Lepisosteus oculatus: one gene and its partners. The protein of the gene in region 1 interacts with the protein of each later gene in a pairwise test. Links are inferred from orthologs where the notes say so. Each region holds a gene or a part of one and is shown in the gene's direction. Other genes may lie near its edges.

Region 1 (7,325 bases):
ACAGTGCCACTGGCGCTCGCTGCTCTGTAAACTGCGGGCTCCCCGGCTGGGCGCGCCTGCGCACTCCCACTCGAGCGCTCCAGCCTGGAGGCGCCGGATTCTCCGGCGGCGGTAGAGGTGCCATGGAGATAGGGGTGCGCAGCTAGCGCCTTGATATTATGGGGGGCGGGGGATTGTCGCTTTCAGGCGAGGCAGAGAAAAATGGAAGAAAAGACCAACAGTGCTCCACCGTTGTTCAAAGGTTTCTGAAATACACACGTGTAGATGCGTTTCCTTTTTTTTGTTGGTACCCGACCGTAACATGGGTAGGTGTGTTTCCCCATGAGAAGCGCTGATTAAGACTGGAACTGCAATTAGGGAGAGGTCTATGGCAACAACGGACCTGTGGGGGTTACAGACAGGAGGAGCCGGTCCTAATTTATGAACACTTAGGATCGAGGCTGTTAATCTCCTGCAACGCTTGATTTCCTTCTTAATTACTTCAACATCTAAAGCAAACAGTAAAACCAGGCTGTCGACACTTCTGAAATCTGACGATAAAAAAAAATTGGACATCAAAATTAAGAATTCTCTAGGGAACCTGATCGTGGGAAAACAGAGGTATGTGAAATTAAAATGACGTCTGGTATAACGGTGTGTGTCTCATAGGAGCCGGGAGCAGCTCCGCCAGTCTCCCTGACTGACTGGGTCTTCGCACCGGTCTCGCCTCTCTGGGATTTATTTATATCTGGAACATCAGCTCCATCACTTCTGGAAAATCGTTGCTATGTCCGATCAAGCACATTGGTAAGTGTGGCGAACACGCGGACTTCTGACTTACTCAGACCTCCGTCCCTCGCTTGATTACTCACTTGACGGACTTTTTTTCCGTGCTTGTCTGTGAAAGAACAGGCTTACCGAAATTGTAAATACCAGGAGTGGTAGCCTAAACGTAAGCTTACACGCGTGAGGAGGACATGGGATTTTTGGGAAGGGCTTCTTTCTCTCAGAATTCCACCTGTGGGCAGTCACGTGAAATCAATCAGTTTGCACACAAAAAAAACAAACCACCACCCTCAGTTGCGGCTCTCAGCGTGTTATCATATGAGTAAGAGCCAATCGGGTTCTTGGTTCAGTCAGGAGTCTGGAGTCAACCCTAAGATCAGATGTTGTTCAATACTGTAAGGGGTAAGCGTTACAAAGGAACAAGTAATAGGTTTATTCCATGCTGAAAAAAAGAAGAAAGAGAACACAACGTTTCGGCCGTGGAGCCTTCTTCAGGTGTGAGCTGCTGAGTTTTTTGTCCTTCTCTGTAGTGCGAAACTGGTAGAGTTTAGAGTTGAGAGATCTAATGAGGTTAGTTATGAAGGGAAGATGGTGTGGAGCTGTCAGCCGTAGAAATTCCTTAGCCTCTTTGATGTTGTTGTCGGAAAGGATAATCTGTTTTTCGAGGGAGAAAATGGTAGAGAGCATTACAAACATGTAGTAACCCTTGAATTGGATCATACGTGTATTAGTGTAAGAGTGCTGTAGGGACAGTGGCACGGGAGTTAGCATTGCTGATTCACAGCGCTGGGTTCAATGCTTGGGATGCTGTCCGTGTGGAGTTCGCATGTTCTCCCATATTGACATGGGTTTTTTGCCGTGGGACAATTAGCCCTACTGTGACTGTTTGTCCGTGTTGGCCCCCCCGATGGACTCGCGTCCCGTCCTGGATGTATCCCTCCTCGTGCGCCCTGCTTGCCGGGACAGGCTCGGGTGCCCACCGTGACCACGTGCCTGCTCTGTTTCATCCTATCCCACCGTCACTAGGTAACCGATGCCTTGGTGGATCTGAGAAGTTGCTCCAATTGAATATCTGCATTTTGTTTCCAGTCCCTAGTTGTTATTGAGTCAAATGAGGGGTCAGATTGTGTATCTGAGGGCTCGCCTGGAACAAGAACCAACAGGTGTGTGTGGGTCTGCACGACCAGGACTGGGAAGCCCTGCTGTACTGGATATAAGGGTTGGGAAAGGGGTGGGTGGAGTGTTGCGTATTAATCAAATAACAACTCAGTACAAGTGCGCGATTCATTCAAATGTTACTATTTAAAAAAAAACAAAAAAAATGAAACTTGATAGGTTGGCATATGTGTTTGTGTAGTGCAGATATTTACAGTGAGGAAAGGTACACAATACTGGGATTTTTTTTTTACCATTCTTGGGATGAAGTGATCAAGACTGCCCCCCCCCCGAAATTCAACAAGTAGTGATTTAGACATCTGTCGAATGGTCCTATAGGACCCCAGAGGTAGATGCACGAAACTCTTCACAATTCCACATTCAAGTCGCTATATTTCGCAGTCCCGAAAGGACTGGATTTGCATTAAGAGATCAATTGGTTAACAGTGCTTAATTAAGAGCAGCTGTGACTAATTAGGCTTTGTCAGTGGCAGGTGTGAATTAAACAGCTATGCAGTAATTATCTTATCTACCCTATTGTTTTCTGATAACCTCAGCAAATAACATTAGTGGGTCGAAATAATCGCTGGTAAATACTGGCTCGTGTTGTTCGCTGGGAGGTTTAGAGGAAGGTGATCTGAAAGTTTATGTTACTTTTTTGTTCTGTTTTTACTTAAATTGTACTTTCATTACTTCATAAATATTATACATAACCTGGAATGTATCTACATAAGCTATAAAGTACGAAATCAAATATTTGCATTATATTAACAGATTTCCTGTGTGTGGGTGGGTCTGCTCTTATTTTTCTCCACGTGTTAATCTTTGCACAATTTGCTGTAAAGTCTGTTCGACGACAAGAATGATTCCGCTGTATAATATCACTAAACGGACTTTTGCTGGTTTACAAGCTAAAAAAAACGCGCTGTAAGATGTCCAAACTACAGTACTGCTTATGACTTCCAGCAGCTGCCCCGTTACGCTGATAAACCAGCTGATATTAAAGACAGCTCTCCACACACCCTCCAAATCAGCGGAACTACAGCTGCATGTACAAAACTATTTTTGAGACTGTTTTGTTTTTAGTGCACATTGAAATTTCTTTGGTGCACCGTGCTCATGAAACTATAGTGTCAGGACAAGGTGAATTGCAGTCTGATTCCCCCCCAGTTCCGTACATTATTTTATTTTATAAACGGTCCGTTTTCTTAGTGTTGAACTGAACCTGCTGTGCTATTCGTAGCTGTAGGTAGTAAGTAAATGATGTGATAAAAGTGCGAAACATGTTTGAAAAACCTATTTGAACGAAAAGGTGAAGTCTTTTTTTTACCTCACCCAAAAACAGCAGCAGATTTTTTTTTCTTTCAGTTGAACGCTCCGTGAAAGGCTTCTCACGCTGGTAAAAAAAAAAATGCAGTCATTTCAGAGGCGGGCGCGCAGACCTCAGTTTTCCGTGCGGTGCTATTAAAAACCCACCGGCTGAAACCACCATGCACCGAGGAAGCGGTTCAAGTTTCAAACTAACGGCTCCGCAAACATCTGGAGAAAAATAAAGACGCCCGGGCGCTAGATCTCTGAGCCGGGACGGATCCAGTCGATTCCCCGCAAAACGGGATTCTCGGCAGGCGTTCTGAATCCCCATCCTTAATAACAGCCCGTTACCCGTCCCCAGCGCGGTTTCGTCCCATTTGGAGGGTAAACCGAAGGTAAAAGGAAGCAGCGCCGGTGTCCTGGGATTTTCCTCCCCCAGCTCGGGTGCAGTTCCTGTGTTGGACATAAGGCACAGACCTACCATTGTTCCCAGCCCACTCTGCCTAATATGGAATTCGCTAGGAAACCCATGATTTCCTGACACTGTAGCGAAGCAGCGGAGAGCGATCGGGGGGTCAGAAACCAATCTCAGGGAACTGGGGGGGGAAAGGAGGAAAAAATAAAAAGATACAGCCGGCAAAATAACAAAGAAGCGATCGCCCACCAAGCCGTTCTTCTCATTCCGGGAGACCCGCCGAGGATTTTAAACGGGATGCGACGCTTTCCCGAGCCTAACCGTGACAACCTTCGTGAAGTTTTCTTCCCCGGCGCTGAGCCCTCGCAGCGACCAGTCCTACCAGCGCCGAAGCCGGGGCTAGCAGACTTGCAGATTTTCTGATCCTCGACTCAACGGGAAGAAGCGAGGAAAGCGAAAACAAACAAAAAAAAAAACAAACCAAAACTTCTCGATCTCTTACCGGTCTTTCTGTAACGCAAGGGGCAGAAGTAAATCTTCTACCACCACCCCCCTCTCCCGGGAAAACGCGATGCGCTGCGAAATATACCCGCAGTAAGAAATACAAAATATAAATATAGAGAGAAGAAGTTCGGGCGACTTTTTCTGTCCATGCTGGTAGCGGGCGAAGCAGGATGGAAATTAGGGAGGAAGATGGCAGCGGCGGTAGCTTTCGGAATAATGTGAAAAAGATGCTGAAGTGTGTCGTGGTGGGCGACGGGGCAGTGGGGAAGACCTGTCTGCTGATGAGCTATGCCAACGACGCCTTCCCGGAGGAGTACGTGCCCACGGTGTTTGACCACTATGCAGGTAGAGTACAGTGCCGCCGACCGTGCGCGGTTGCCTGGACACAGCCCGCCCCCCCCTCCGATCTCCGTGAGGCCAGGGGGTCTTCAGGGACGGGCCGGGCTCGGCGACGGAGGGCGAGGACGGGGGAGACGAGCGTAACTGCTAGCCCGAGGACGTTACCCGGGCCTGGGGCTGGTGGCGGCAGACGGCTGCCTGCTAGAGAAGGGCTTTTAAAAATTCAAAGGCGAAACTTGACACGTGGTTTTATATTTAAAAAAAAAAGAGAATCCATGGGGGCGCTGGGTTATAACAAAACACAGAAAAAGTTTATGCACTTTTCTGTGCTTTAGACCAACTGACTTTTCTTGGCGCACTCAAAAGTGGGGAAGGGTAAAAATACTTATTGGGGTCGATTTGTGGGTTCGAGTCCTAAAAACGTGATTTCGACCCTTTCGGCTTACTGTAATTGTTTGGCGGTGCGGAGTGGTGAGTCCAAGTGAAAAGGTGAATTGTGGAGTATAATTAGATCATTGCGATTGCACACAATAGTGCTACAGTATCTTATTTCCTCCGTGTCAGCAAGGCTCGGGTTGTGGAATACTTGCTCCCCGGACAGACGTGGGTACCGCTATCTGTCTCTGACACGAAATACCAGCTGTCATCATTGCGTAATGTTAGGTAACAAGGAGAAAAGCGCCTTTCCTCTTGACCGAAGAGCAAACGAAAACAAACCGTGCCATTAGTGGGTCCCACTAATTATAACTTGCTTGAAGACGGGTCGATATTAACAAAACCGCTCAAATGCATCCCATAATGCTAATTGTGGAGCCTGTTGTGAAAATATTTTGAATTGCACTGGCCTTGATTTTTTTTTCCAAGAGCAACAAGCTGTGGTTATTTTCACAGCTTAAACGAGCGTGCAGACAAAAGCCAGCCACCTAAACACAGTCTGACCCCAGGGGCTTGATGTAATTATGTGTTTTTCAAAACCTGTTGAAAACGCTAAGAGTACAAATCTTAGAACATGCATTTAATACAACAGGCAGGTCAAAAAGCTTATGAAGAAACAGATCCAAAAATGGTAATTGTTTTGCAAACTGCTACTATGGTACAGGTTTTTCTGGAGCTTATTTCTAGGGAATTATTCTATAGAGTGGCAAAGTGCGTGTATACAATTATCACTATATTGTTACTATCTGGATTCACTGTTCCTCTTGAGAATCTTGACATCAGTAGCTGCCTCTACAAAAAGTAGAGGAAATAATAGAGAAATAGGGAATTAAATTAGACTTAAGTTTCTGTGGCAGACAGGACACTGGCTCTGGTCTGGAACCGTCTCAGTATTTTTTTGCCCTGGTCGTATTGTACAGGTGCCAGGATGGGTGAGAGAATTAGCCTGGGTGCAGGGCTCCACTGCTCTTTGGGTGTCAGTCAAACTGATAGGCAGCTGGTGAGACAGACATACTTGAATACACAGTCATAGAGTCTCGGACTGCTTCCTGAAAGATGGGAGGATATGGTAATATGACCGTAGTTCTTGTATCACTTCATTCCTGGAAGGACTGACATCATTTTTGAACACATGTCAGATCCAGTGGGAATATGAGAAAAGCAGGATTTAAATCACAGGATTAAAGATTCACATTTTTTTCCACTCATATGAACTTTATGCCAATTGTCCACTGGCCCAAAAGGGGGGTGTATGTATTTTCGGAAATCCATCGGACATTTCAAAGTAGAGGCTTCGATAACTAGTACAAACATTCAAATACATTTAAAATATTAACTCTTTGCAACCTTAATGAGCTGCTTGAAGATTATGTTCCAATATTGAAGTTCTTCTACAGTTATGAAACTTAAAGTCTCTCAAAAGCAGAAAAACACAGTGGCTAAGCTGCTAATGCTGTTTTTATTCCATAAGTAACATGATCAACGTTCTAGATAAGATTAAGGTTATAATCTTGAAAAAGAAAAGCACTAAAAACATTTTGCTGGTCTTGACGGAAATTGTTCATATTTAAATTAGATGAAATGTTTCAGAGATGGGGTAAGGCTTGATAATGTTTTTAAAAATCAGATTCTTTTAGGGGGGACGGGACAGAATAATGTTTTCTGTATCTACCCTACATTTATACAATGCTATTTAATGGCAGAATTTACACTTTTTAAAGAAAAAGGGGTTTGGTTTAGAATGGTCACATTGTTGTATCTGAAAAACAATTGCATGTAGTTGATTTTAAAGGCCCTGCAGTTTTCCAAACTAAGTTCCAACTACAGAAGATTCATAAAAAAAAACAAAGCTAATGTAATAAGCCCCTTTGCTTTTTAGATCTTGTTGTGTTGTCTAATAAACATTAGAATTGTGCTGTTCAGTGATGACAGTGTGCAGTAATCTGTAGCTTTTCTGTCAACACATTTCAATGGGGAACTGTGTTGTCACTCAATATACAAAACTGCGTTTAATTAAAATCACAATTGTTAACAATTCAAGAAACCACCAAATCATGCTGAATAAATAACACATCAGCTAAGAAAGGAGAGGGCAACTATAGTTTGACTAAATGGAAAGAAAGGAAACAATGCTTTAACTTCAAGGAATGCTAGGAGATTTTAGAAAGTTGTTCTAAACCTGAGGCTGACAGACCGTGTACAGGTTTATCAATTAACTTGGTGATGCAGAATGGAAGCCCACATAGGAAATACCATTAAAATGAACTTTTCTGTGAGGATGGTGACTGTGCATGCATCAGAGTCTGGGAGATATCCTACACAGCAGCATGCCCTGGAGAGACCTTGTAATTCTGTGCAACAGTGGAAGAGAGGTCTGACAGCCTCCATGCTCACTATGTCA
Region 2 (7,001 bases), on another chromosome or scaffold:
AAAACACAAATGGCCAAATTTTCAGGCCTAAACCAACACATATGTAGTGATAACTACACACAGCTGTCTGAAATGCAGTCATGGTACACTGATGCAAAATGAAAATGCAACAGTTTAAGTTGAGGCAACAGTGTGGACTAGTGGTGAAGGCTCTGAAACAGTAGGATTATAGATTCAGATCTCATGTCATATTCTGCTGTTGTACCCTTGTGCAATGTATCTCACTAAGATTTCTCCTAAATGCTGTGCTCCAGAAAAGGGTTCCTCCTAGGTCATAAATGGGATGACCTAAATGGGAATTTGCTTTAAATTGACCTATCTGGTAATTTAATAAAGTTTTAAGTAAATAGCTTATAATATTCCATTCCAAATAGTAAACAGTTTTCTTTTGATTGAGTATTACTATTTAATGGAATAATAAAACAGATAAAGTTATTTGATTTCATAAAAAAAAGGTAGGTACTCAGTGTTTGGTTTTTTAGATTATTAAGAATCTATATTATGGTCTATTCAGAAACACAGGCTGCATTTTTAATACTCAGGTTCAGGTTTCCTTTCTTCTTAAAGGGTTCCCCTATATAAATAATCCCAAACCACCTTGTTTTTCCTGTTTTTTTCTGCCTTTTTCCTGATGACAAAGAATCCGTGAGGGAGTGGTTAGAAGCAAATGTCATTTTATACACTCCAGGGAAAAGACATTTCATCATCATATATTGGGGCTTTGGTCTAGTATATCCAGAAAGAAAGAATCTATTTTAATTATAGCTTTAGACCTTACAGCTGGAGGGATTATATTAGTTTTTTTTGGGGGGGTTTACTCTGTACAGCATCAGATCAGTAAAAAACTATTTACAAAGGCCAGTATAATGTCAATAGCACCTAGAATATACAGTATTGAGGAAAAACATTATTTTAATTCTCTGAAATATATTAATAAATTGTCCTTCGTAAAAAGAGCAGACACTGGCTTAAAATAATTTTTTAACAAATTGTCCAAAATATTTTTTTTCTCAATGTATATTTTGCTTATAAAACACAGTTGTTCTTATTGCATTCATTTATTTTTTAGTGCTATGTTTATATTAGACAGATATTCACAATCGTATTATGAAATGTACAACTAACATTTTTTCAGACATAATGAACATAAAGTACTGTTGCATTGTTGAAAAAGTATTTTTTTTTTATTATTATTATTATTAACAATAACAACAACAGGTCCTTACACTTATATAGCGCTCAAAGTGATTTACAAAATGATTTACATGTAATGGGGGCTCCCCTCCACCACCAACAATGCAGCACCAACCTGGATGATGTGACGTCAGTTATAGTGCGCCAGAAGACTAGAAGAGAATAGAATGATAAAGCCAATTGAGAGATGGGGATTATTAGGAGGCCATGAGTGGTAAAGGCCAATGGGAAATTTGGCCAGGACACTGAGATAACACCCCTACCCTTTTAACATTACCAGAAAAGCAGGAATTACAAACATAATCCTAAGTGTGTATTAAACCTCTAGCATTTCTATGATTCAGAAAACTCATTCTCAGTATTGGTAAGGATAACATTGGAAACAGTGGTTTTAAAACTATGTTAAATAATTAATAAGCGCTGAATTCCCTTTGACAGGCAGAAAATGCCCAAATTAATGCAAAATCAAATAGAAACCTGAATGAAACCATTCAAATGGCCAAATACATCACAAGGGATATTAGATTCAAATATAAGTATTTTACCATTTAAGAATATACAGCTGACAAGAATTCAGTTGTAAAGATTAAATTAAGTAAATTCTTATGAAAAAGGCAGTGGAGAGTTATACAGTATATAGACACTAAATCCTCTGAGGCAGGGACAGGCTCCTCTCCAAGCTCCATACAGTAGGAATGGTCTTTCACTGATGCCATTCCTTAGCTCATAAATAGACATAGCCTAGATGATTTTAGCTCATCCAAAAAAATGTTTGCAAACTTGCTTAATTATGTCTGCATGCACAAACATCTCACCTACTCTGGCAAATCTGTAACAAGGATATATCAGTGGATTCTGATGTGCGACAGTAAAACAAGTCAGCTATTTCGGTGGTAAAAGATTAAAAACAAATCCTGTTAAGAATTTATGTACCATATATAAGATAATAATTACATAAAAATAAACACCTGTTGAAGACTTATTCTATTGGTTATGTTGTAATGTATCCATAATTATAAAGATGATTCTAGTTAACAGAGTCAATAGATTTTAGCTGATATTCAGTATTTTAGGGACAAAACGTAAGGATTTAGCAAGAACAATTAATCAATGTTATTAATATGTTCTCTTTATGCCATACAAATTGAGCTTTATCTTACTAAACCTGGTCATCATTCTTCTCAACATTTGTTTTTGTATTTGGGTGACATTATTATTTAAAAAAAACTTGCATTTGTGATTAATGCTCAAGGATGCAACTGCAGTGTTCCATTCAGGGTTAAAACCCTTGACTTTCCAGCTGGAATCCAGAACCCTGACTTTCTTACTGCTGGACACTGCTTCTTATCATTTGTCTTCACACAAAGGCTTCTTTTCTGTCTTCCTACAAAGCTTTGCAGATGATATGTATGTACTGTACACTCTCTTATTGAGAAAGCCATTTTGAACCTTAATGAAATTTGCTTCAATGGAGCTTGGTATCATTAGAAGGTATAAATATGTATAATTAAGTCTGGGTTACAAACCTAGATAATTTGACCTGTTTTTGAACTGGAATTTCAAATTGTAACCTACAGTAGGAGCCTCTCTGTCCCCACCTCTGGATTTTTACAAAATTTTGAAGCTGTATATCATCACCACAGTAATTAAAGACATCTGACAAATTCATCCATTAGTACAAGATGCATACCATTTGTAGAACAATTACAAATTCTGGTAATCTGATCTCTGAATGTTCATGTGACTCAGAAAACAATTTTTTCTTCCCCATTCCCAGAGGATTCATACTGTAGTTTCTGTTGGTTTCTGTTCTTTACCTTTAATGTTTATAATGCAACATGACATTTTATAAAAAAAATATTTCCTAGAACTGTCCTTTAATATTGCTTAAGTGTGAGAAGTCTAGTGACAAACATGACTGATATAATTCTGTTCTAAACTATAAAATGAGTGCTTTATCTGCTTTAAAACTGAATTAAGGCATTTAAATAGAACGATACCTTATTTGGCATCGTGATTAGGTACCCCTGGGGCTAGGTATTCGCTGACAAAGTGGAATAAAAGAATTGAATTGAAGAAATTCAGTATCTAATGTGTAAAATGCATTGACTTTCATAGTTGAATAGTATGGCAGTGCACAGATATCACAAAACGCAAATTTACTTTCCTGGTTTCCCATTTTGCTCTCAACGCACCAATTAATTTGTCCCGTCTCCCTAAACATTCATTAGTTATGCTATTAAGTTAAACGCAAATGGTGGTCTAAACTAGATCCATTGATTTTCAGCGCCCTCAACAGCACAATGTCAGACAATTCAAAAATGATGTCCTTTAATTGCGACTTAAAGACACTCCACCCGACATCACAGAAATTATGATGCAAGTCAATTTGTAGTAAGTTATTTACTAAACTACTAACAACAACAAAAAAACAATTGTTATTATTACAACTGCACTGCTGTTGCTGTTGTTATGAAGCTGATTAAGTTTTGGAAGTATGTTGTGTATTACTGTATATTTTGTAAGCGGCTCTGGGTATGGGCGTCTGCTAGGCAAATGTTATTAAAAACCTAGGTAATGAAGCTGAAAATAACAAAGGATTACAGAGTAGGATTTTCATATTTAACACAATTATAGAAATACAAAAATTGCTCTAAGGCACAAAGTGTTTGACTTATATTACGTCCGGATTTACTGCACCCCTTAGTTTACATTAGCACCAACTTGGCAACACGCTCCTCTTGTCCCCGCCCTGCTAAATGCTCACCCCTCTGCATACTGCATTTGTTACAAAATCCACAGGCCAACAGGGCTAGACCATTCCCTGACACAAGGAAGTGTTTCCGGAGGCGCTGGGCAATTTTACACTCCTGGCTTTCTCTGCTATCAGGGATGAGCGGCGTACCTGCTGCTGCAATCAAGATTGATTTTACCATCCCCGGACAGCTTTAAGAAGGGACGAAGTTGAATCCAGCTCGCTATGTTTTCCCGCATTCCCCCGTTTGGTTAGTGGTTGTTTCTTCCTGCTGCCATGTTGGATAGAGCTGCCGATGCTGCTGTTGGAGTTCGGATGAAAGTTTAGGTTTTTGTCCAACCGAGAGATCCAAGTTTCTGGGGCACTTCGGAAGGCCGAGGGATTGTTTGCATTAAATACCCAAACTACAGAAACAGAACAGTATTTAACCCCCCCACCCCCGTCGCATTCCTCTCGGAGAGAAGCACCTACAGCATCAATGAGAAGATCCGGTGGAAGGCCACGCTGATCAATGACTGAAGACATTTTATAAAATACCTTAATTAGTGTTATATACATATATTCGTCTGGCTTTTTACCCCTGCAATCATGAATAGCCAACATCCCCCTCCGCCGCGGCGTGTCACAAATGTGAGCTCTATGCTTCTCACCCCACAAGAAAACGAATGCCTCTTCAATTGCCTCGGCAGGAAATGCATCGTAAGTTTTAACATTTACTTACTCGATTTTAGTCTCGTCCATACTATTATAACTTGTAGACAAGTATGGGATCTTCTTGTAATTATCTTAAAACAAATTATCGGCCAAGTTTTTCATTAAAAACGGCCTAAACTGCATTGGGTTTTTTTTTTCTAAAGAGAACTAAAGTGAAGCAAAACAACAGTGCCTGGATCCCCTTGGTCTTAGGTTAATGCTTGCGTGTACGGTTGTGGGTTTAAGAGCGTGGATATGGAGCGTGCTGTCCTGGCACTGGCTGTCCGGAGGTCGGTGTGACAAGGCAGGGGAGCCCCGAGGCCGCGTTCGTGTCCGACGGCGTCCGGAGCGCGAGCCGGAACCTCTGCGCTCCGCGGTGCCTGTTTATTTTCCTCATCGAATATGGAGCTGGCAAGTTCGGTCAGCTGGAAAGCACATTCTATGAGGGATTCCATTACATAACACTGTTTTTGCTCCACTCGGATCACTCAGCAGCAGAATAAGATAGTGCCGCTGTACTGTCGCTTGTTCTAATGTTGATTTGTTTTTTTTTTTCATAACATTCTCCGGAAAATGTCATTGCGTTTAAGAAACTGGGAAAGCGAGGGGATGGCAGGGGTTAAAGGGATGCCTAAACTCAGTTGTGTTAATTTTTGAATGTTCAAATATATCAGGAGAATCTCAGGAGAGGTGGGGGTGCCATAAGTTACAGTATGTTCAGTTGAGTCCGAGGGCGCTAATAGTCGACTGAGTAATTTCTGCATTAGTGTTACAGCATGTTCCTGTTGATACAGGGCCTGTATGTTTCCAAAAAGGAGCCTTCAAGGGCGTTATGGATATTTTCGCCTTGTAACGCCCTATACCTGCCTTACTCACCTGCTGCGGGGAGTTAGTGTCGTTGTGAACTAAGACAAGCTTCTTGCAGAGGTAGCCAAGTGAAGTGAACCATTCACTATAACTTTGTAACTTCAACAGGAGGTAATTTGAAAACATTATGTAAAAAAAAAATCTTGCAATCGAATTCATTTTGAACTGGACTGTGTTTCGTTAAACGGCTTTTTGTTTTTCATATGAGGTTGTTTATTAAATCATGATACTTATTAAATCCCTGCCTATAGCAGTTATAATTTAAGAACTTCAGAAGCCTGCGATTAACAGTCCTCATCTCAGCGAAGTATCTATTGTGCTGTCACCTGATCATGCGTCATCAAGATTTCGTCCCTTTCTCATGCAGCAGTTGTTAAAACGCACACGCAGCTTTTTAAAAGATCTTTATTCCTGCATACATATCTATTTAATCACTTCATTGTGGATACCAGAAAGAGACGCGATTCATTAGAATTACTGTAAGGTTTACTATGCGGCATTTTATCACTGTCGCATTAAAGTGGCTTAGTAGCAACAAAGTCTCCTAAATTGTAAAATGTTTTTCTGTTGCTCTGTTCAGCACAAGTGTTGATGTACTTTGTCAAGCATTTATGCATGCTGTGATAAAGTTATTGTAGCTCGTTTATAAACGTACGTAAACATGAATAGTTATCTGGAGCGATGTTAAATTGTGACAGTTTTTAAATTAGTGAAAAGGGGTTCTCCCAGGTTAATAGCAGTTACCTACACATTTATGATACCCGGTCAAAAGAAAAAAAAAACACGTGAAAAATGTTGCACAAGTCTTTAGATTTACTGTGCTTACCATTTTTTATGACTATCTAACAAATTAAGTTATTTAATGGATGTGCTTTTTAATCTGAAATACATCTCCTCTCCATCAGTGTAAAACACTATACCTATACCTAGAGATTTGAGAGTATGCAGATTGCAAAGCAGAAACTTTTGGTTAATTGTACACTGAAAAGTAGAAACGAAACCCATGTCAGCTGTTGAAGTTTTGAGCCTTGCACCTGAAGAATGCTGAACAGCTAATATTAATTTATACTTGTTCCATTATTTATATATTGTCTTTTTTTCTGTATTATCATATTTGAGATTTCCCCAAAATTTGTGAAGGCTTAGTGTTTGTAAAAACCTAATTTCTGCCTTCACTGTCTACAAATGTCTTTATAGAAACATGTTTTGTAATATTTTATTGAGATGCACAGACCCTAAATACACTGACATTTAGGGAATAAAAGTATTAGTTTCTGAAGGCATATGAAAACTAGTTTGAAAATGAAAACTGAACTGCTGCACATGAATCAATTCATATAATGACCCATATCATATATGAAATTAATCATCTTGTAAGGTTTTCTGTAGGGAAGGATCAATAATGTTGTAATAAGTCATATTTCGTAAGTGGTATTTTTACTCGCTGTCCATGACTTCATATTCACTCAGCAATGAAAAACCTTTTGACTTT
Region 3 (7,785 bases), on another chromosome or scaffold:
TTGTCAAGTTTGATGCCATTCTTTTCCGGGATGACAGTGTTTAATAGACCATTTTTTGTGTTTTCCCTTACTTGTCGTTTATCGTTTATTTTCGTGAATATGTATACGCCATGAGAATAGTTTATTTAATTGCATTTATTTTAGCTCCAGCGCTCCTTAAAGCAGATTTACAGTCAGGTAAATTCACTTTTTTTTGGCAACAAGATAATCAGACTCGGTAGTCAGAAAAAGAGCGAGGTCATGGAGAGACGATGAAATATAATATTCAGTATAAATATCGGGAAATTCTGCTACTAATAAACACGATCATGGTACTTAGTCTATACATAACATTTAACATTTTAGCAACGACCAATTATTCAAATGAATCCTAATGTTTTTTGTACCTTGTAAAGAGAACCCGCATGTGTATGATTTTTAACAGAAGTTCATTGAAGGCTCTTTAAAAACACGACAGATCGCAGTTCCAATTGACGTGTTTCAAGACGCTAACGTTGTATTTGAAATCGAGAAGTGAATTCTTTTGTTCCTGAGACGCTGAGTCTGAGTTAATTATACCGTCTGATCTGGATTAATTCTGCCCCAAGAATATAGTCTACGTGTTACTCAAATTGTAGTTATAAATCGATTGAATGTTCTCGCTTTTTTTCCCCAATTTTAGTTACATTTCTGGTATTATTAAAAATCCAGTAGATTGAACAGCCAAGTGAACTGATTTCACAGGACATGAATTTGACAGCATTTGTTTTCACATTTGCAGTGAATGCATTGACAGTATTTAAGTTTATTTGTATTTACCTACTGGGAAGCAGTTTTAAATATTATATTCAAAGTGATACACCTTGATACACAGATAAGCTCATACACTTTGATCACCTGCTTCTTAGCATAAAAGATTGTAAACAGAAATTAATTTGAACTTTTTAACATGGGGTTTTGGGGTATGTAACTGGATGTCTGTTTTGCAGGAGAAGAAAGATGTGGCTTCACAAGGGAATGGCTGGAATCACTCACAGTGTCAAGGGAACTCAGGAAAAATGGTTTTCACAGGTGATTGCTTATTGTGGAAATACATCTTTCAGTTGCCTATAAACACAACAACACAGTGCTGTATTGTGAGCCACCTGTATTGTGAGCAGGGAAGTGAGATTTAGTCATGCTGTTTCATTAATGTGCCGTGGGCATTATGGCTCAGTTTCAGTAAGCAATATGTGTGAAATATTGAAGTCTGTGGCTCTATATTTAGGGAGCTTGTGACCAGTGTATGCTGTGGCCTGGGGTCTCCCAAAAACCTGCATTTCCTGCTGGTGGAGAGGCTTCCCAAAGGAATCTACATTGACCCTTACCAGCTAACATCAGAACAACACGACACTGGCTTACAGGTAACAGGCACTACAGGAGTAGTGAGAGTAGGATCACACCATGGTAACCACAACTTGCTGCACCAAATACGGAGTATAGAGGATTTTCTTTCTCCTGGTACTAGTCTGAAGTTTCATCTTCTTTCCCCTCCATTTCAACATTACAAGGAAGCTATTGCTTGAATTTTTTAGTCTTTTTGAAACAAAAGAAAAAAAAAACGTAATCTGTGAAGCCTCTTTTTAGGGTGGGGGAGAGGTAGAGCCAAGTCTAAAGAAACCTCCACAGCCAAAATCTTTTCCTGTTTTGTTTTACTTTTCAGAGTGGAATTAACCTCTGCTTGTAACTTTTTTTGCTGTGCCTGTCACGGTCTGAGTTTTACACCAGCAGTTCTTTTGGGCACATGCATTCATTTCATTTTAAGGACAGTAGTTTCTTGCATAAGGTAGGTGAGCTCATGTCAGGTGATTTCATAAAAATGCCTTGGGGGTTAGTGCTAGTTAATTGAGCGATTTAAAAATGCCAAATGATTAAGACTCTCTTTAAAAACAACAAAAAACATGACCATGCATAACTATTTTAGTACATTTATGTCACATTAAATATCGGAGATCTTTTAGAAGCCCCACATTTTTTTTAAAGAGATCAGGTGGCAAATTTTACAGTTCTTTTGGACTGACAGGGTTCCATCTCCTTGTGCAGGTGCTTCTGGACACAGAAATTGATGTGGAAGCCCCGGCGTATGTTTCTTCTGCGTTTCCTGCCCTAGTTTATCCCACACGGGACCCTGCATCTCCTGTGTGCTTGAAGGCAGTTGTGCCAATCCATGGGCGCTATCATCGTCCTTCAGATTCCGGGAAGAGAACTGCCCCGATTGACATCGAGAACCCCCACCTGCTGCTCCGAGCAGACTCCTGTGAGTCCTCGGGTCTGTGTGTCTGGCAGCACTTTCTTCTTGATATAGTGACCTATGTGTGTCAGTTTGCAAAGCAGTTTTTTTTGCCTTTATGATGTTTCACCAGGGGCAGACTAATAACATGTCTGTCTCTGATGTTAAAAGCTTTCAAAGCAGGAACAGAAGCCTTCTTGAGTAATTTCAAATAAATGCATGATCCGTTATCACCTTCAGAAAAATATGAATCGGTCACTCCAATCAAATTACAGAAAATTGAAGACTACAGAAAAGGCTCAGCTGTGGAGCCGTACTCACTAATAAACATGCTTTTGGGGTAATTGTCTTATTTCCTGTTTGCCTTGTCATCTGATGATGAAAACACATCTACACATACAACACAAGTGCTTTTCCTCAACAATATAAAATACAAATCAATGCTTTCACTCATTATATAATTGCATTTCTGTTTTGTGCTTTGTTGGGTTGTTCTTAAAACTTACTAGTAAGTAATAAGTGGGAATTAATACCTTACTTTGCATTTTGGAATAAGTTTTTAAATTTAAAGATTGTACAACATCCTGTACCTGAAAGCACATTACTCCTTGTGCTGTTTACTGTTTTGTAGTATTTTCAAAGTACAGAAAAACACGTGCCTCTTAAAGCAGACCCTTTGTGCTTTTTTGCAGGTGATCTGCCTCCGAACTTCATCCCTTATACACTGACGGACGCCCCCTGTACAGCTCTTAATCACAGCATGTGCAGATGGCTGCAGATACATTCTGCACAGGTACACTGTCGCCAGTCTGTCACTGTGGTCCTACTGCTGGGGCTAAGAAATGACTATGCATGTTTATCCTCTCTTACTGGGTGTGCTCCTAAGATATTTTTAAGTTTTAAGCATGGGATATGTTGCTGGCTGCAAAATAGGAAGGTCTCAGAAAATAGTTACTGTCTCGGGTGCTTTGGTCATGGTACTGTCCTGCCGTCTTGATAATTTGGGTGTAACATTGGCATCTGTTTGATGAGCTTCAAACCGCTCATATGGAGACTTTGACCAGGGGAGGCCATAATGACTTGGGTTCAGTTACCAAGAACTCTACCAATAACGATTTCCTTAAAAAAAACAAAAAACTGTTGATGTCTCACTAAGAAATCAGGTCTGTGCGGAAACTGAAATAAATTTCGCTGCCCAATCTTCTCACTCTCTTCAGGAGCCTGGGCCGCTGCGCCTGGAGATCCCCGTGGGGGACATGCGACTGGTTGGATTGGTTTCCGCTGCCACCCTGCTCGTGACCCTGCTGAGCTGTGGCTACCTTGCAGGGGCCGTGTGGAGAAATGAATTCCTCCAGTCTCGTCCCCCTGTCAGCCAGGGGACCTGACGCCCGGTCCTCAAAGGGACTTTCCAAAGTGTTTGTGATTGCCTGGACAAAGGATTTTAAACATTAGATCTGATGTATAATAATTTATTCTAAAAGCTTCATATTTATATTTGTAGATTCTCTGTTTAAACTTAAATGATGACAGATATGCAAAACTACTACCACTACTAAGAATAATCAGCCACTACATCTGGTGTGAATTTGTCTTTTGGGCGTGTACACCGCATGTTAGCATTGCATTGGGTGGACATATCTCTTTAAGTGTGGGAGTTTTGTATTTGTCAGAAAAGTAAATAAAAACTCGAAAATGGTGTCAAGCTTTGTTGCTCTTTATACATTAAACTATCTGTTTGCTCACAGCTGAAGAAGGCCTCAAAGCTGAAGCAGTTTTTTCCCTGTCTTTCATTAATACTCTGTAACATTTGTTGGGAAAATTGTTTTGCACCCTTGCAACTATGTTTCACATTCAAACTTACAAAAACAAAAAGTAAAAATATGCATTATACTAAAAATGTAACATTAATGTATAAAATCCACATCATATTCACCTTAAGTGGATTTAATGGTCATAGGGGAATTATGACTTGGAACAAAAAATCATGTTTATTTGACTAGTGTTGTGCTATCAGTAATGATCATGTGCAGGTCCAGGCCTAGTATTAATTCGTTTCTACGTTACTGTTGTTTTTTGTAGAGCAGTTTGGAATGCTTTTGGTGGCACTTTTAACATATTGGAGCTGGTATATAAAGTTTGCTTCGATTTAATTGTGAAATTACTTCATTCTAAAACCATGCCCTGCACTTGTTGTACCACTCTGAAAGAACTACAATTCCCTTTCATACATCCTACACTACTCCTTTCTGTGTATTCCTGGGAAAAGCAGTCCCGACTCCTTCACCGCCCTATTTCCAGAAAACGCTACGAGAGGAAGAGAGAACTACATCTCCCATAGTGCTCTTCGTGCGAAGCGCTGCAGGGACCCGCTGTCTTTGTTTTCTGAACATTAGTTTTTTTTTTACAAACGTGTGGGTTTGTTTCAGTGAGCAGGCAACACACGTTAAAACGTTAAAAATTCCTCCTGAAGAAAAAAACACAGATTGCAATTAGATTGTAATTTCTAATGTCATCCGACACTGGGTTGGGTCGGTAGTTCCGCTTCCCCTCCGCCATTGCGGGTTTGTCCCGGTCTAAGAAGATAAAAGAATATAAAAGGAACGCAAGAAAAAGAAAGAAATTGCTTGGATATTGTATTGGCAGAATTTGGGAAGGGGAGTGCACTCAAATAGTGGTATTTTAAAAAAACGATATCTGAACTCTTGATTATCGGTTCTCGTAGGAGGCGGAGCTAGCATCTAAAGAGTTTTGTGGAAGTTTGGAGCTGAGAGTTTCGCCTGGTGAGTCCTGAAGTTAATTATTTAACTTGCTTTGGTGTTCGTATATTTTATAAATTGGATTGTGTAAGTTTCGAAAATACTATGTTTGCCGAGAAACTGCATGAATGTGATATTTGGCAGGACACCGGTAGCTTCTTTATGTCGGAAACGTGATATAAAAAGTTTTACAGAAGAGTTGAAATCGGTGAAAAGTCTCGTATTTCATTACGTATTTTATTGTTGCAAGTAGTCTTTGAATTTATTTAACAGACGACAAATGTCACTGGCATTTATTTTAGCAGAAAAAATCGGTTATAGTTTATTTTGTCTAAAAAGAACAATACAGGTGTATGCTCTCTCAATGTGAATTTGCACAAACAGGATTTAAAATAATCTAAAAACACTTTTTAGTGGAGATATTTGGCATTTTTCCTTCCACTCTTGTTTATGTATCACCATTGGAAATTTTTATTATAACAGCACTCAAGATACGACTGATTTCAGTTAATGTAATATTGAATGTGACAATGAATGTTATCCGTTTTTCCATTGCACTTAACACCGAATTGCAGTTCTTTGATTTTACTTTATTAATCATATTTTCAACTTAATTTTGTGAACTATAATACGGGATGGTGGAAATACACGAGAATATTGACTGGTACAATAAGTCATTCCCCAGTCCCTCTTTTTAATACAGGAAAATCGTAAATAATGGAGGAGAGCTCAGAAGACCACTATTTCATATACATTTTAATCCATCTCTGGTGTTCAAGGTGCAAGCTCTAATGAGAGTTAAGTATTTATGGCCCAAATTGTATATGTTCAGCCACGAGAGGTAATGTGTTTTTTTTTCTAAGAAAAGAAAACATTCTTGGTGACCCATGTGAGAAGACAGCTTGCAAACCCCAAAACTGATCAAAGACTGTTTAATCTGAGTTTTATCAGCTGTTCAGTGCAGTTTAACAAAAGGAGCAAGTCATAGGTTTATTCCATGCTGAAAAGAGAAGAAAGAAAACACAACGTTTCGGCTGTGAAGCCTTCTTCAGGTGTGAGAAATACAGCCGAAATGTTGCAGAAACGTTGTTTTCTTTCTTCTCTTTTCAGCTTGGAATAAACCTATTACTTGTTCCTTTGCAGCCTACGCATGCTGACGCAGCTCCCCACCTGAACTAGTTTAACAAAAGGTTTGTTTTGCGTGTTTCTGATGTTTTGCTGGAGATTTAGTTAAGAAGATTGGCAGATAGTGCTTTCTTGACACTGCAGCACTGCATTCGAATACCTCATTATGAAAGTCATGTGTTTAGCCACTAGCACAGCACAAAACCTTTCATTAGTTACATTTTGAATAAACAGTTTTAAGTTTTATGTCCATATTTGATGTCCTGCACACCTGGCCAAATGTTTTTTACACAGAGTATGCAGAGTTCCTAGAAGAAAAGTCATGGTTGCTTTTAAAAGTTATAGGATTATTGGCCATTTTCTTTACAGCTGAAGCAGGTTATAGGTATGATGTAGTCTTGCCTGTCCTGTGTTAATATTCCCACACACGGTGTGATGTAATGTTTGTATATATGGTTTGAAATTAAGCCCACTTGAAAATACTATCCTTGTTCAGAAGAAGGGCCCAATTTCTCAGTGAGTGGAGTAACCAGAGCTCTAAGAAAAGAGAACTTGCCAGTTAAAACCACACTGGCTATATTGCATTACTTTTCGTTTTTCAGTTTTTTCACTTGAACTTGAATGTCTGTAGCATAACAGTATAGTACATTTCTATGTTATAGGGAACCTGCTTTCTTTTGGATAGGTAGTGTTAAACGAATAACCTCTTCTGTTCAGCCAGCCCATTGTAACCTTGGTGAAAACAAAAAGCAATGTACTTTTTTTTTATCATGGCAGTGTCTGTTTTCTTTTCATTATTTTATTGAAAAAAGGGAGTTCCTGGAGTTTGTCGCCACACAGAGCCGAGGTAAAACGTTGGGCATGGATTGCAAAAAATGTGATTTTTTTTTTTTCCTTGTAGATGTTTTTTAGAGGAATTGGAGGAAATTACGTGAGGGGTTGGTGGCGGTGTATCCCGGGTGTGAAGCAATGCAGAAAGCTGATGGACAGCAGATAGGCTGGTACACACACTCCATCAGTGAGAACTGCCCAGGGAGCCTCTGGGTCGAGTAGTAGTGTCATGTGTCTGCCGAGAGAGAGACCGCACTGTTTTCACCAGGCACCAAGGGGAAATGGGACTCGCAGACAGAAAGGAAGGGGGCAGGTTACCTCACACCAGGAAGCACCGTTCAGAATTTCCTTTTATAGACTGCTGCAAATACAAAGGCTCAAAGTCCCCTTTTCCTGTAAACAGTCACTCTAGTGCAGGCTTTGTGGCAGGCACACGGGGGGAGACGGTCCTCCTGGAAATGAAAGCTGGCCTCATCGGCTTGTAGAACATATCGCCAGGCTCCATAGCCAGCCAGCAGCTGGCTTTCAAAACTTGGCAGATGACAGCAGCTGATGCTAGGTGCTATACAACACGGTAGTGCTCTCCAGCTAGTGCCCCTGGGTTCACAGTTCAGACATTATTACAGCCATTCTGCTCTCTGTTTGAATTGTAGTAGAGCACCTGTTGTGCTTTAATGGAACTTCTCTTTCATTCGTTGGGGGAGGTTTAATAAGGCTTTAGAGCCCAGGACAGACAATGTCAGTTTTTGTTAGTATGGTGCCACTTACAGTAAATTAGAGGGTCCCATGGTGCCCCAACAACCACTAGCATCAGTTTAATTTAAA

Evidence for each region. The genes of interacting proteins can lie anywhere in the genome.
Region 2: the proteins of rhoj (region 1) and wasla interact in binary tests that used the Homo sapiens proteins (3 or more experiments, as listed by UniProt). The two-hybrid records come from large-scale screens. The link is inferred for Lepisosteus oculatus from reciprocal best matches to the Homo sapiens genes RHOJ and WASL.
Region 3: the proteins of rhoj (region 1) and pak2b interact in binary tests that used the Homo sapiens proteins (3 or more experiments, as listed by UniProt). The two-hybrid records come from large-scale screens. The link is inferred for Lepisosteus oculatus from reciprocal best matches to the Homo sapiens genes RHOJ and PAK2.

The regions. Positions count from the first base shown.
Region 1 is NC_090703.1:7,695,025-7,702,349, forward strand, and holds the start of rhoj (rho-related GTP-binding protein RhoJ), read left to right. Parts: upstream 1-4,314; 5' UTR 4,315-4,320; coding exon 4,321-4,495; intron 4,496-7,325.
Region 2 is NC_090702.1:38,463,090-38,470,090, reverse strand, and holds the start of wasla (WASP like actin nucleation promoting factor a), read left to right. Parts: upstream 1-3,977; 5' UTR 3,978-4,537; coding exon 4,538-4,648; intron 4,649-7,001. UniProt on the Homo sapiens protein: Regulates actin polymerization by stimulating the actin-nucleating activity of the Arp2/3 complex. Involved in various processes, such as mitosis and cytokinesis, via its role in the regulation of actin polymerization.
Region 3 is NC_090708.1:10,584,879-10,592,663, forward strand, and holds the start of pak2b (serine/threonine-protein kinase PAK 2b), read left to right. Parts: upstream 1-4,761; 5' UTR 4,762-5,028; intron 5,029-7,785. Other genes in the region: pigx (phosphatidylinositol-glycan biosynthesis class X protein), read left to right, coding at 111-177, 969-1,050, 1,247-1,382, 2,062-2,275, 2,941-3,041, 3,466-3,633. UniProt on the Homo sapiens protein: Serine/threonine protein kinase that plays a role in a variety of different signaling pathways including cytoskeleton regulation, cell motility, cell cycle progression, apoptosis or proliferation.